Saccharomyces cerevisiae S288C: one gene and its partners. Changing the gene in region 3 together with the main gene of any one other region gives a genetic interaction. Each region holds a gene or a part of one and is shown on either strand. Other genes may lie near its edges.

Region 1 (3,555 bases), on a different chromosome or scaffold from region 3:
TCGATACACTTTCATTATTTAACTTCTCTATTATGGTGTAACTTCTTACTTTTGTCAGAAAAAAAGATTTCAAGACACAACAAGAATGGGGTCAAAGGTCTGCTTGTACTATCAGGAAGATTTGATACCAACCGCGTTATAAGGGTTACTAGAAAGTAATAGCTGCTAAAAAATTTAAACCGAAGAGATTAATCAGAAAGCTGAAAAACTGCAGTGTTAGTAGAGTTGTAAGCATTTCTTGATTGGAACAGCCTTCCCCCACACGTCCACCCTTGTTCAGACAGATTCGTAATGATTTTGTGTGTAGGCAATGGAAAACTTTAAAAACGGTTTGATTTCCTACAAGATAAAACATATGAATAAAATAACTTGTGTCAAATGCCCCATTTCCATACTGTAACCCAAATCAACGAAATAAAAAATAAAACCTCATATGATTTACTTTATTTAGTCATAAAAAAACAAAAAAAAAAAAAAAAAAAAGGAAACAAGACAATCCTTTATAGTTTGTTTCCATCATGAAACCTATGACCAGCATATATACAATCGTCCCCCAGTTCCTCTTCGATACGCAAAAGTTCATTATACTTGGCCAGTCTTTCTGATCTCGACAAAGCGCCCGATTTAATTTGACCACATCTTAAACCAACGACCAAATCAGCGATAAACGGATCTTCGGTTTCACCTGATCTATGCGATATCATTACACCCCATCCAGCATCGAAAGCCTGATTGGCGGCTTCAATAGACTCAGTCAGAGTACCGATCTGGTTGAGTTTCAGCAACAGAGTATTCGCACATTTCTCCTCTATAGCACGGGCGATCCTGGTCTTGTTGGTGCATGTCAGGTCATCTGCAATAATCTGAACATTGACAGTCTTTAGGAAGGCAGACCACGAGGACCAATCATCTTCGGCGTAGGGATCTTCCAGGGAAATGATTGGGTATTTCTTTAGCAATGAATGGTAATATTCTGCTAACTGGGCTGGACTGAGCCAGTGAGATGGGTCAGAGTTCGGTTCCTTGAAATTTAGGTCGTATTTCCCGTCCTTATAAAAAACAGAAGGAGCACTATCGATTCCTACTTTCACTCTACCCTCGTAACCGCATATGTTAATGGCTTCCACAATCATGTCCAAGGCGTCTTCGGCAGTGTCAATATCGGGGGCAACTCCACCCTCGTCACCAACATTTCCAGCGGAAGGTCCATATTGCTCCTTCGCCAATATCTTCAAATGATGGTAAACTTCCGAACCCATCCTCATGGCTTCTGCAAAGCTCTGAGCCCCGACTGGCGCGATCTTGAATTCTTGCATAGCTAAAGAGCCACCGGCGTGGGCTCCACCATTCAAAACATTGAAAAAAGGAACAGGAATAACAAAGGGGTCCTGTCTAGCATCCGCTAACTCGGCTATATACTTGTAGAGAGTAATTCCCTTTTGTGCGGCAGCAGCTCGAGCAACGCACAAGGAAACACCAAGGATAGCATTGGCGCCCAACCTTGACTTGTTAGAAGTTCCGTCTAACGATATCATGAGCTCGTCTATGCCCTTCTGATTGGTTACACATAATTCGGACTTGATTAAAGCAGGCCCTATGATACTATTGACGTTACTGACTGCCTTGGTCACCCCTTTTCCCATCCATTCGGACTTGTTCCCGTCTCTAAGTTCAACAGCTTCGTGAATGCCGGTGGAGGCACCAGATGGGACGATCGCTCTGAAGAGACCATTCTCTGTTGTAATTTCAACCTCAACAGTCGGATTGCCGCGAGAATCATACACCGTTCTAGCATGTACCTTCGTGATGGACATATTTTTATCGTTGAGATTCGATTTTTTCCTCACCTTGTTTTGGTATTTCTATTGCAAGACAAAGTGAAAGAAGAAGAAGTGGTGGTAAAAAATAACTATATATAATGAAAATTGTAACCTGGTGGGAGTGCAAACTGTAAGTGATAACCTGCCAGATCCATGTTTCTATTATATACCTAAGAACCAGCCAAGTTAGGTAAACGAGGAGTCTTTCAATATCTCTTTTCTAGTGAGAATGTTATTTAGGTAAATGAACAAGTTACCACTATACTACTCACCCCCTACACTTTGTTTGTGACCTCTCCCCTTATCCAGTTCATCGAAACTTTTTTTTCAACTTGTGGCGATCTGTGACATTGTCTACTACAAGAACCGATTTTGGTTGATGTCTGTAAAAAAAACAACCTTACCTTTCCAGATCCAACTTTCCAGGAGAGCTGCGTGAGTTTCAAATATTTACCATGTCGGAGAAAGCTCCCAAGTACTTCCTTGTTCTTGTCATTTTTTCCTTATCTCCATCCTTTAAGGAAGGTATTTCCATTATGCGATTCTATAAATCCGAGCATGCGAGTATTTCTTTTCTTGGCGCGGAGTCGCTGATGACGCAATAGGCACATTCACGAACATCCAGGACTGGTAATCTTCTCGTCTTAAAGAAAATCCAACCACCAGTAAGAAACTCTTGGGTAAAATGGGGTATCTGAAATATTGCATAGCTGCAAATGAAGATATTCAGTATCAGCATAGGTATTTTTATGGAGGATAGGTAAAGAGAAAGAAAAAAAAAAATATCTTTCTGACTGTCGTTCTTGCAATTATCACAATTAGGGGACTTTAAAACCGATACTTGATATATGAGCACAGTCAAGGGGTCGGTTCTTGAGATTTTAATGGAAAACAGGAAAGTTGCACATACAGGTCTGCTTTTCTTTGCTTGCTCCAGACAACGATACTTAGAACTAAAACATATTTCTAGAACACTTTTCTCCTTCATTCAAAAAGAAAACTGGCCTTGCAATGACTCCAAAAAGAGCGCTAATATCTCTTACTTCATACCACGGTCCCTTCTACAAAGATGGTGCGAAAACAGGCGTTTTTGTAGTTGAGATTTTGCGATCGTTCGATACATTCGAAAAGCATGGTTTCGAAGTGGACTTCGTTTCTGAGACTGGTGGATTTGGCTGGGATGAACATTACTTGCCAAAGAGCTTTATTGGTGGCGAAGATAAGATGAACTTTGAAACGAAAAATTCCGCCTTCAATAAGGCGTTAGCGAGGATCAAGACCGCAAATGAAGTCAACGCCAGCGACTATAAAGTATTCTTTGCATCTGCTGGACATGGTGCTCTATTTGACTATCCCAAAGCTAAAAATCTGCAAGATATTGCATCCAAGATATATGCCAATGGGGGTGTGATCGCTGCCATCTGTCATGGACCGCTCCTTTTCGATGGATTAATAGATATCAAAACAACAAGACCATTAATCGAAGGCAAAGCTATAACAGGTTTCCCACTCGAGGGTGAAATCGCCCTGGGAGTTGACGACATCTTGAGGAGCAGAAAATTGACAACGGTTGAACGCGTTGCAAACAAGAATGGAGCCAAGTACTTGGCGCCAATCCATCCCTGGGATGACTACTCTATTACAGATGGAAAGCTAGTTACGGGTGTTAACGCAAATTCTTCCTATTCGACCACAATTAGAGCTATAAACGCATTATATAGCTGAAACAAAAGAC
Region 2 (3,572 bases), on a different chromosome or scaffold from region 3:
TTTTATATTTAATAACTAACATTTTTATCAACGATGGAATTCCAACAGCTTTACTAATCTTTACTTGTAATTTGGCTTTTTAGATCTATAATATTTATTGTATGGAAAGTAGCATCCAACCAAATCCCGCGAAGTTTTCCTGATTTACATAACAAGCAAATACTAAAAACGTTAACACACATGTGCTTCTTTATTGTAAAGAAACCTCCATCATCCTCTTTTGTAACTTGGTCCTACAATAAATTTATCCAGTGTGACAGCTTTATAGGAGGCGTAAAGTAGTCTCATGAAGTAGATGAGTCTTGTTCACCATATTTTTCTTCTCGACTGCGAATTAACACTGTTCTTTGATGTTAGAACAATTTAGGTTCAAAGTACGAGTCACGACATGTAACAAGGGAAAAAAAGGATATTCATTTCAATAAAGTTCGTTTTATAAAAGTATAGTACTTGTGAGAGAAAGTAGGTTTATACATAATTTTACAACTCATTACGCACACTCATGGTTTTTGGCCAGCGAAAACAGTTTCAAAAGATTGCTGGAAGTCTGCAATAATGTCATCAATAAATTCGATACCAACAGAGACACGAATTAAGTCCTTGGTAACACCAGATGCCAACTTTTCTTTGTCATTTAATTGTTTGTGGGTAGTGAAGTATGGAGCAATGACTAAGGTCTTGGCATCACCAACATTGGCCAAGTTAGAGGCAAGCTTTAAATTGTCAACAACTTGAGCACCAGAAAGTTTGAATGGGTCAGTTTCCTTGTCGGCATTTGGTAAGTCTTTTACACCGAAAGATAAGACACCACCGAAACCGTTAGATAGATACTTCTTAGCATTTTCATGATGAGAATGAGATGCTAAACCAGGGTATGAAACCCAAGATACGTATGGGGATTGTTCTAACCATTTGGCTAACTTCAATGCATTTTCACCGTGTCTTTCAGCTCTCAAAGATAATGTTTCAACACCTTGTAGTAGCAAGAAAGAGGCAAATGGGTTCATCAATGGACCCAAATCTCTTAATAGTTCAGTTCTAACATGAACGATGTATGCCAAGTTACCGTAGGCTTCATTGTAGATAGTACCGTGATATCCTTCGGCAGGTTGAGAGAATTGAGGGAACTTTTCTGGGTAGTCCTTCCATGGGAACTTACCAGAGTCAACAATAATACCACCGATAGTAGTACCATGACCACCAATCCATTTGGTAGCAGAATGTGTTACAATATCAGCACCGTATTTAATTGGCTGACAGAAGTAACCACCGGCACCAAATGTGTTGTCAACGACAACTGGAATACCGTGTTTGTGAGCAATTGCAACAATTTTTTCAAAATCCGGAACATTGTACTTTGGATTACCAATGGTTTCCAAATAAACAGCCTTGGTTCTTTCATCAAAGACCTTTTCGAATTCTTCTGGATTGTCACCTTCAACAAATCTAGCCTCGATACCAAATCTTTTGAACGAGATTTTGAACTGGTTATAAGTACCACCGTATAAGTAAGAAGTGGAAACGATGTTGTCACCAGTGTGTGCCAAACCTTGGATGGCAAGGGTTTGAGCGGCTTGACCGGAGGAAACAGCCAAAGCAGCAGCACCACCTTCTAAAGCAGCAATTCTTTCTTCCAAAACATTACTGGTTGGGTTTTGGAAACGGGAATAGACGTAACCTGGAACTTCTAGACCAAACAATTGCGAACCATGCTTAGAGTTTTCGAAAACATAAGAAGTGGTGGCGTAAATTGGTACAGCTCTGGATCTGTGAGCATTGTCACCAGGGTTCTCTTGGCCGGCGTGTAGTTGAACAGTATCGAAATGAGATGGCATTGTATGGATGGGGGTAATAGAATTGTATCTATGTATCTGACGACCCTGTATTACACGAAGGAAATAGTAGATGAAAAGACAAGAGAGCAAGAAAAAGGAAAAACTTCCTTTCTAACAGACGCTTTACTTAACCTTATATATATCTTATTTTTTTCATCGAGCGTGTTCAATTGGACAAGGTGCCACCTTTTCGACACTTCGGTTATTATGTTACACAGTTTTCATGAGGATGGCGCCTTGACTAACTTAATTAGTCATTTGCCAACCACCACAGTTCCCCAATATCGACAGCTTCACGTGCCATTTGCCATTTTGCGATCATGTGACCTCAAGAGAAAAAGCAAAAAATAATGAGAGCTAAGGGATTCGAACCCTTGCATCCGAAGATATCAGAGATTTTAGAGGTTAAATCCACCTAAATCTGACGCCTTAAACCACTCGGCCAAACTCCCATTGTATGTTGGAAGAATTGGATTTAAATGTCTATTATAGCATTAAATATCTTTAAATACATTCAAGAAATGGCGAAATTATTTCTTAGTGTTGGAATAAAAATCAACTATCATCTACTAACTAGTATTTACGTTACTAGTATATTATCATATACGGTGTTAGAAGATGACGCAAATGATGAGAAATAGTCATCTAAATTAGTGGAAGCTGAAACGCAAGGATTGATAATGTAATAGGATCAATGAATATTAACATATAAAACGATGATAATAATATTTATAGAATTGTGTAGAATTGCAGATTCCCTTTTATGGATTCCTAAATCCTCGAGGAGAACTTCTAGTATATTCTACATACCTAATATTATTGCCTTATTAAAAATGGAATCCCAACAATTATCTCAAAATTCACCAAATTTTCACTTAGGTATTTTCTTTTATAAAGTCTATCGTTATAAAAATACTATATAGATCCCATAGGTGCTTATTATAGCAGCAGAAGAAAGTAGAAAACGATTTATTCTCCTTTATTAAGCGTGATATTCAATAACTTCCCAGTTCAACCCATTGCTGGTTACAGTGGAACCTTTCTTCAAATTTTCGTAGCTTTGTGGAATTTTGTTTACTTCCTTACCGTAGCTTAATAAGAACTCAGATTTACCTGAATCTTTTTCAAGTAATCTGATGAAGTTCAAGCCTTCAATAGTGTTATTATTCTTTTGGGACAAAAACCCTTGAATCCATCTACCAATAACAATAACCAAACCATCATAAGCTTCGTCAGTAACTTTGAGGACAATTGACCTAGCATTCGACGAGAACTTCTCATTGTTTGGTGAGACGATGACTAGATCTTCTCTTGATGGGTCAACTGGTTGCCACAATTCTCTGAAAGAGACGCTTTCTTTGTCGGCACCGAATGGGTAAACAGCGCCTGTTTCCTCGACACAACCAGAATCCCAATTTTTCCAAGTGGTGTTCACTTCGCCACGATGGGTGTTTGGAACGTTCAAGTACACATTTGTATCCAACCAGAAATTGAAATCTTGAGTAACGACACCGTTTCCTTGATCATTAGCTTTAACTGTTTCGTTTGTACCGGCAAAGGCCCATTCGAAAGGAAAAGATAACTCATCACCGCTTGGCTTAACAAATGGTCTCAAGGAAATATAGTGCCCATCAGTTGAAACAGAGGATAAGGTGAATGTTCTTTCGTTTGGATGAGGACCCACTTGAAACAATAATCTTTTTAATAATGCTGGCATTGTAACTTAATTTTTTGTTT
Region 3 (6,361 bases):
TTCGGTGAGTGCATTCGCAATTGGCATCATACATTAGGGTTCAATGTGCTTTAATAGATGATGATACTAAATACTTATACTTTGAAATAACTTAATCAATGTAAATTATTGTCTTGATTCATTTATACTTAAATTTTTATATCTCAACATATGATATATCCTTACATTAAGACTTATTCAAGAAACATTTTTCAACGATAATTATTAGTAGGCTAAAAATGGCATAGGAACCAGAAAATAATGTTGAAGAAATGAAGCCATCTGTTTAATATTTGGGGAAAAAAGTGAAGAAATTAACGAATATGTGCATATATATATATATATATATATATATATATATTGCACAGGTGATTTTGATGTAGAATGTAGCCTTTTCGAAAGAGTAATTTGGTTTTATCTACAGAGTTCCGAAACATTGTTAAGTGCCTGTTCTTATATAATTAAACTGTACTTTCTGTAAAAGTCAATTTGTGGCTGGCGCATCCACGGTATACCAATGGTTCCGTGTAATTCGATATTGACTAAGAACCAAAAAGAAATGCTTTAATCCTTGTATTGTCCAAATCCCCCACCACCAGGGGTTTTAATGATGAATCGATCACCGGGTTGAGCGTAAATCGTATTTTTACCGCCGACATTGATTAATGCGCCTGTGCTATGTCTTACCCATAAATTCTCACCTCTACTACCGTCTTGTCCTCCCTTTATACCATGAGGGCCAATGACACGACGTTCTGATAATATAGATGCTGTTACAGCCTTCCGAAATTGAACATCCCTTACTACGCCATTTCCGCCAGTATATTTACCTTTGCCTCCTGAACCTCTTCTGATCGAGAACTCTTTCAACAGAACGGGGTATCTCCTTTCAAATACCTCAGTATCTGTCATTCTTGTATTGGTCATATTCGTGTGTACAGCGTCTGAGCCATTCCAACCACTTCCTCTCCATGAATCTGCACCAGCCCCCGAGCCGCCACATATGGTTTCATAATATCCAAAGCCTTTGATCTGCTTATCGGTTTTGTTACCAGAATTTCCTCCAGTTCCAAATGTAAAGTTGTTACAGTCACCTTGAGAATCTGCCATGACGTTAAATGTTTTTAAGATTACATCTGTCACTCTTTGGGAAGTTAATACATTGCCTCCGACAACAGCAGCACCGGATCGGGGGCTCAAGAGGGAACCAGCAGGAATTTTTATTGTTAAGGGTTTTAAACAACCTTGATTTAAAGGAATATCTTCGCCTACTAGACACCGTAGACAATAAAGAATCGCAGAATTAGTAATAGCCTCTGGTGCATTTAAATTACCATAAACTTGGGGAGAAGTGCCATCGAAATTAAAAATATACTCCTCTTTTTCAGGTCTTATGATAACTTGTAGTTTAATTAAGCTTCCATCATCTAAGCGATCTTCGCCAGAAAACTTCGTTGTGCCAAAATGTTCAACCATTTTTGCAAGCATTTTTTTTATGGATTCAGATGCATTTGTCTGAATTGCAGCCATGTATTTCAATATTGTAGCCAGATCATATTCCTTAGTTAATGACCCAATTAACTGTATCCCTTTTGTGTTAGCTGCGACTTGCGCTTTTAAATCGCTTATGTTATCACTAAATCTTCTTGAACCTGAGCAGCCTGGGTATTTGCCTGGATCTTCTACGAAAAGCTTGTAAATTAATTCTTCCTGGAAAATTCCCTCTTTGACAACCAATTCGGAATAAATTGCGGTTCCTTCTTCGTACAATTCTTTGGAATTTGGAGGCACTGAACCGGGTAGAATACCTCCAATATCTGCATGATGGGCTCTTGAAGCCACATAAAATATCAATTCGCCAGTTGAAGAGAAAGAAGGAGTTATTACTGTTATGTCTGGTAAATGAGTACCACCAATATCCGGATGGTTTGTGATTAAAACATCACCAGGCTTTAATTTGCCTTCCCATAACTTCGCCTGTGCTGATATGCAGGTTGACATTGATCCTAAGTGAACAGGTACATGAGGAGCGTTAGCGACTAAGTTTCCTTTAGAGTCGAATAGTGCACATGAAAAATCTAATCTCTCTTTGACGTTAGTTGAAACAGAAGTTTTCCTCAATTGAGTACCCATCTGGAGGGCGATATCCATAAACCTATGACTGAAAATAGACAATAAGATTGGATCTATATCAAGTTCATATCCGCTTTTAGATAATGTCTTCGCAGCCTTTTGGTTGATCTTGATAAATATATGAGAGTTTAAAATTGTTGCTTGGCTGTTTGGTAAAATAATATTTGTTTGGGTACCGTCAGCCAATATGGCTGGGCCCTCGATAATTGTTCCGGCAGGAAGATCATCAATTTTGAAGACCGCAGTGTCGACCCATTTGTTGTCAAAATATGCTTTCTGGGTAAAACTAGCATCCTTTGACACGTCGGCTTTCTTGAAATGGGAAATTTCAATCAATTGCTCATCAACCGTTTTTTCTTTTCTAACGCCTGATTTCCCAATTGCTCTTATCCTTATATCATCAATTATAATTCGTTTGTCATCGAATGAGAATCCGAACTCTTTTTTATGAGCTTCAGAGAACCATTCCCTAAAATTCCATTGGTCATCATATTTTTGTAATATCATCAAACTGGTTTCAGTACCTTCATATCTGAGATTTAAATATCTTTCCAAGACTATGTCCTCCCGAGAAAACGACTGAGATAAAAGGTTTTTGATTGAATTTTTAGAAAGTTCTAAGAATCTTTTTTTCACTTTCAAGATGGTCTCTGGCTCACCCAAGATAAAAGAGCAAGGCTCTTGGTTTTCTTCAATAACATCTGCTAAGAAAATGCCATAAGCGGACAAGATAGAAGAATATCTATGAATTAAAACAGTGTCAATGCCCAATGAATCTGCAACCGCTATGGCGTGTTGCCCGCCAGCCCCGCCAAAGGAAACTAACCGATGCTGAGATACTACATGTCCTTTTGCTTCTGTAATGGCCCTCACAGGTCTTGCCATGCATTCGTTAGCTACTTTGATAAATCCATAGGCAACCTCTTCCATGGTTAGATTTGAATTCAGATCCTTATTGATGACATCTGTTAATTCTCTGAATTTCAAAGTAGTGGTTTCTAAGTCAAGTGATTCATCCTCATTGGGCCCAAAAATTTTGGGGAAGAACTCAGGAACCAAACGTCCTAAAAAGAGGTTGGCGTCTGTAATGGTCAAAGGCCCGCCCTTTCTGTAGGCTGCAGGGCCTGGATCAGCAGCTGCTGAATCAGGGCCTACTCTGAATAACCCGTTTTTCCATGACAAAATAGAACTTCCTCCAGCAGCAACAGTATGGATGTCAAGTTGAGGAGATTGTATGATGATCCCTGCGGTAACAGTTTCAAAAACATGTTCTAACCTCCCATCGCCGTACCTACTGACATCAGTAGATGTTCCTCCCATGTCAAAGCCTATTAAGGGTATGTTATTATTTTTATCATAGCATGTACTAGAATAACCTATTACGCCACCTGCAGGACCAGATAAAATAGATTTCAAACCGGAAAATTTTCCCCCATCCACTAAACCACCATCAGACTGCATGAATTGAATGTGGGTATCTTCTGCGTGGCTCAAACCTGCAGAAATGCTATTCAAGTACTTTTTAATTACCGGAGTAAGGTAGGCATCTGCGACAGAACTGTGAGCCCTCGGTAAAAATTTTATCATTGGAGAGACTTCAGATGATAATGAAACATGAGAAAACCCAATCTCCCTGGCAATATTACCAACAATTCGCTCATGGTCTGGAAAAGTGTATGAGTGTAAAAATGCTATCGCAATAGACTTGATTCCGCTAGCATAAAGCACTTTCAGAATAGATCTTACGCTTGATTCATCTGGCTTCTTTATGACCCTTACCATTTCGCCACTATTACCTTCCAGGATACCTTCTTGTTCATTAGGAGACGATTTGGTAAAATAAGGGTCTTCCGAGAAATCTTCTAAAGTAACTCTCTCATCTATTTCAACTACAGTGTCATATAATGGCACTACCTTTTTTATATTTAAGTTGAAGATATCTGGCCTGGTTTGGTCTCCAATCAGCAATGAATCCTTAAAGCCTTTCGTAGTAATGAAGGCACAACGTTCACCATTTCTTTCTAGAGCGCAGTTTGTAGCTAGGGTTGTCCCCATTCTTAAACTTCTCACATTAGAGATGTCTAGAGGAATACCGCGAGGAATTGTCTTGTGTTCAAGCACCTCCAAGAGACGTCTTATGCCTTCAAGGGGAGCATCTGGATAGTTTTTGGGATCCACCGACAAGAGCTTGATGACAGTATCATGTTCTTGTTTACCTGTACCAATATTCCCCACACAATCAGTGAAAGTTCCACCCTTATCGATGGCAATTCTTATGTTTCCTTTCTGCATTGTATACCAAGAAGTTATATTTAGGTTTTCAATGCTCAAAATTATTACTGTTTAAGTTCAGTTCTTAGTTTTTGGCATTCTTTCTTCAACACCACGTAACATTTGATCTTATCTTTCTTTTCAGTGGTAATGTTATGGCGATCGTGCTCAATCGGAAAAGCACCTGAGGCAAACAAAACAATTGTTGAAGTATTCATGCAAATAATACTGAATAGAGCGGAGTACGCTTGTTCTTAATTCCAGAGATTGGTAAAGTGTTTATCATTGCTACCCTCTAGAAATAAAAATTAATTATTTAGGTAAAAAGTAGTACTGAGGTTTCATATCTGTAGACTGATGGAGTAAAAAAACATTGAAAAGACTATAAAGAAATTATAAGTAGATACACAATTGCTTAACCTTTCATGTAAGCATCTAATTCAGCGTCAAGAGCTTCGACAGAAGTAGGAGTGTTATTCTTCTCACGGCCCTTGTTCTTTTTGGAGACTCTGTTAGGCTTTTGGCGATAATGGCTCCCTGGCCTGCCTCTTCCGTGTTCTTGAGCCGTCTGTTTGCGACGGTTGTGGGCATTCATTCTAGAATGCTTTCTCTGTGGTTGGTAAATCTCCACTTCAATTTTTGCATTATGTAACTCATGTCCATTATAACGCTCGACAATCTTTTCCAAAACTTCTGGGTCTTCAAATTCGTAAATACATGTACGATCCTCTTTATTGTCAAAAATTTTCGAAAATATTGGCGAGCCAAACTCTTTAATCATATCATCGAGGGTGTAGTCAGAAACGTCTAGTGGGATTTTGGATATTCTAATTCTCTTAGGCAAAGGAGGCTCTTCCCTCTCTCTATAAAGGCGATCTTTCGACCTTGATGCAGCATCCGAAGGCGCAAATCCCAGTCTAGGTCCTAATTCATTTCTTAAATCCCTTCTGCGGTATCTCGTTACCTTATGATTAGATGAGCTGTCTGTGTGACTATTTCCAATAATTTCGTCAAATGCTTTGTCCATTGCAAAATGCAGTATTGAATCGTCTAATGGAAAAGGTACTAGACGCTTATCGTTTCAGTTTTTTAGTCTTTTCCATCTATTTATCAGTCTGTACTCAAAATAACCTTATTGTATGTAACCTTTTTCATTTCACGATGATAATTTCTTGCCGAGTTAGACAGAAAATGACCGTGATAGTTTGTCATAATTTTCAATAGGGCAGAAAGAATTTTAAAGATTATTTGCTATCTAGACATTATGTGTTTTATATGATTGCTGTAAAAGTATTAGGAGAGATCGTCGAAAATATCCTTAAACCTTGGCACGTTCCCATAGCTCCTTTTGATGTTTGCAAGCCAAGTTACGGAGTTGGCAAATTGTCTTAATGTAGGTTCAACAGTAGCCAAATTTCCGTAAGCTACGGTTAGCCTATATGCGGCTTCTTCGCATTCTTGATACTCTTCCAATGGCCCATACTTGGTGTTGATGGCGTCAGCTACGATAGGCAAAAGTTCTAAATCAGAGTTCCCTTTCGTGACGAGAGCTGAATAGTTGAAAATTAGTGTGGAAACTGCAATAGCCAAATTCTGTGACTGTTTAGCAGATGCCTGAGAAAATTCAGTATCTATAGTCTCAAAAATTGATTTATAAACTTGATTTGATTCCAGTAATTTCACACCCCAGTTTTCATTATTGAAGCAATTTACCAAAATACGCACAGTTAACATGGTTAGAGTGATATTCTTATTGCCCAAGCCTTCTTCGATGTAATCTTTTATATCTGAAGAATAAGGTAATTTTTTTACAATCAATCGTACTATGTCGTATGCAGGAGTCTTAATTTCCCAGTTAGATCTTATAGTGTTAGCAAATGAAAGTAGCAACTCCCAGCTTTCATCTATGTCATGTAGTGCGCCACCAATTTGCGCCAGAATTTCATCATCAAAGGTCTTCTCATTTGAATTTATTTTT

The links.
Region 1: mutations in OXP1 (region 3) and ERR1 together harm fitness more than expected from each alone (negative genetic interaction), as found in Saccharomyces cerevisiae (2 studies listed by BioGRID).
Region 2: of OXP1 (region 3) and MET17, extra expression of one rescues a mutant of the other (dosage rescue), as found in Saccharomyces cerevisiae (one study listed by BioGRID).

The regions. Positions count from the first base shown.
Region 1 is NC_001147.6:1,078,535-1,082,089, reverse strand, and holds ERR1 (phosphopyruvate hydratase ERR1), read right to left. Parts: upstream 1,815-3,555; coding exon 501-1,814; downstream 1-500. Other genes in the region: HSP33 (glutathione-independent methylglyoxalase family protein), read left to right, coding at 2,832-3,545.
Region 2 is NC_001144.5:730,805-734,376, reverse strand, and holds MET17 (bifunctional cysteine synthase/O-acetylhomoserine aminocarboxypropyltransferase MET17), read right to left. Parts: upstream 1,836-3,572; coding exon 501-1,835; downstream 1-500. Other genes in the region: YLR302C (uncharacterized protein), read left to right, coding at 1,824-2,186; HRI1 (Hri1p), read right to left, coding at 2,818-3,552. UniProt on the Saccharomyces cerevisiae protein: Catalyzes the conversion of O-acetyl-L-homoserine (OAH) into homocysteine in the methionine biosynthesis pathway. Required to efficiently reduce toxic levels of hydrogen sulfide generated when the sulfate assimilation pathway (SAP) is active.
Region 3 is NC_001143.9:26,284-32,644, forward strand, and holds OXP1 (5-oxoprolinase), read right to left. Parts: upstream 4,405-6,361; coding exon 544-4,404; downstream 1-543. Other genes in the region: YRA2 (Yra2p), read right to left, coding at 4,799-5,410; DOA1 (Doa1p), read right to left, coding at 5,677-6,361. UniProt on the Saccharomyces cerevisiae protein: Catalyzes the cleavage of 5-oxo-L-proline to form L-glutamate coupled to the hydrolysis of ATP to ADP and inorganic phosphate.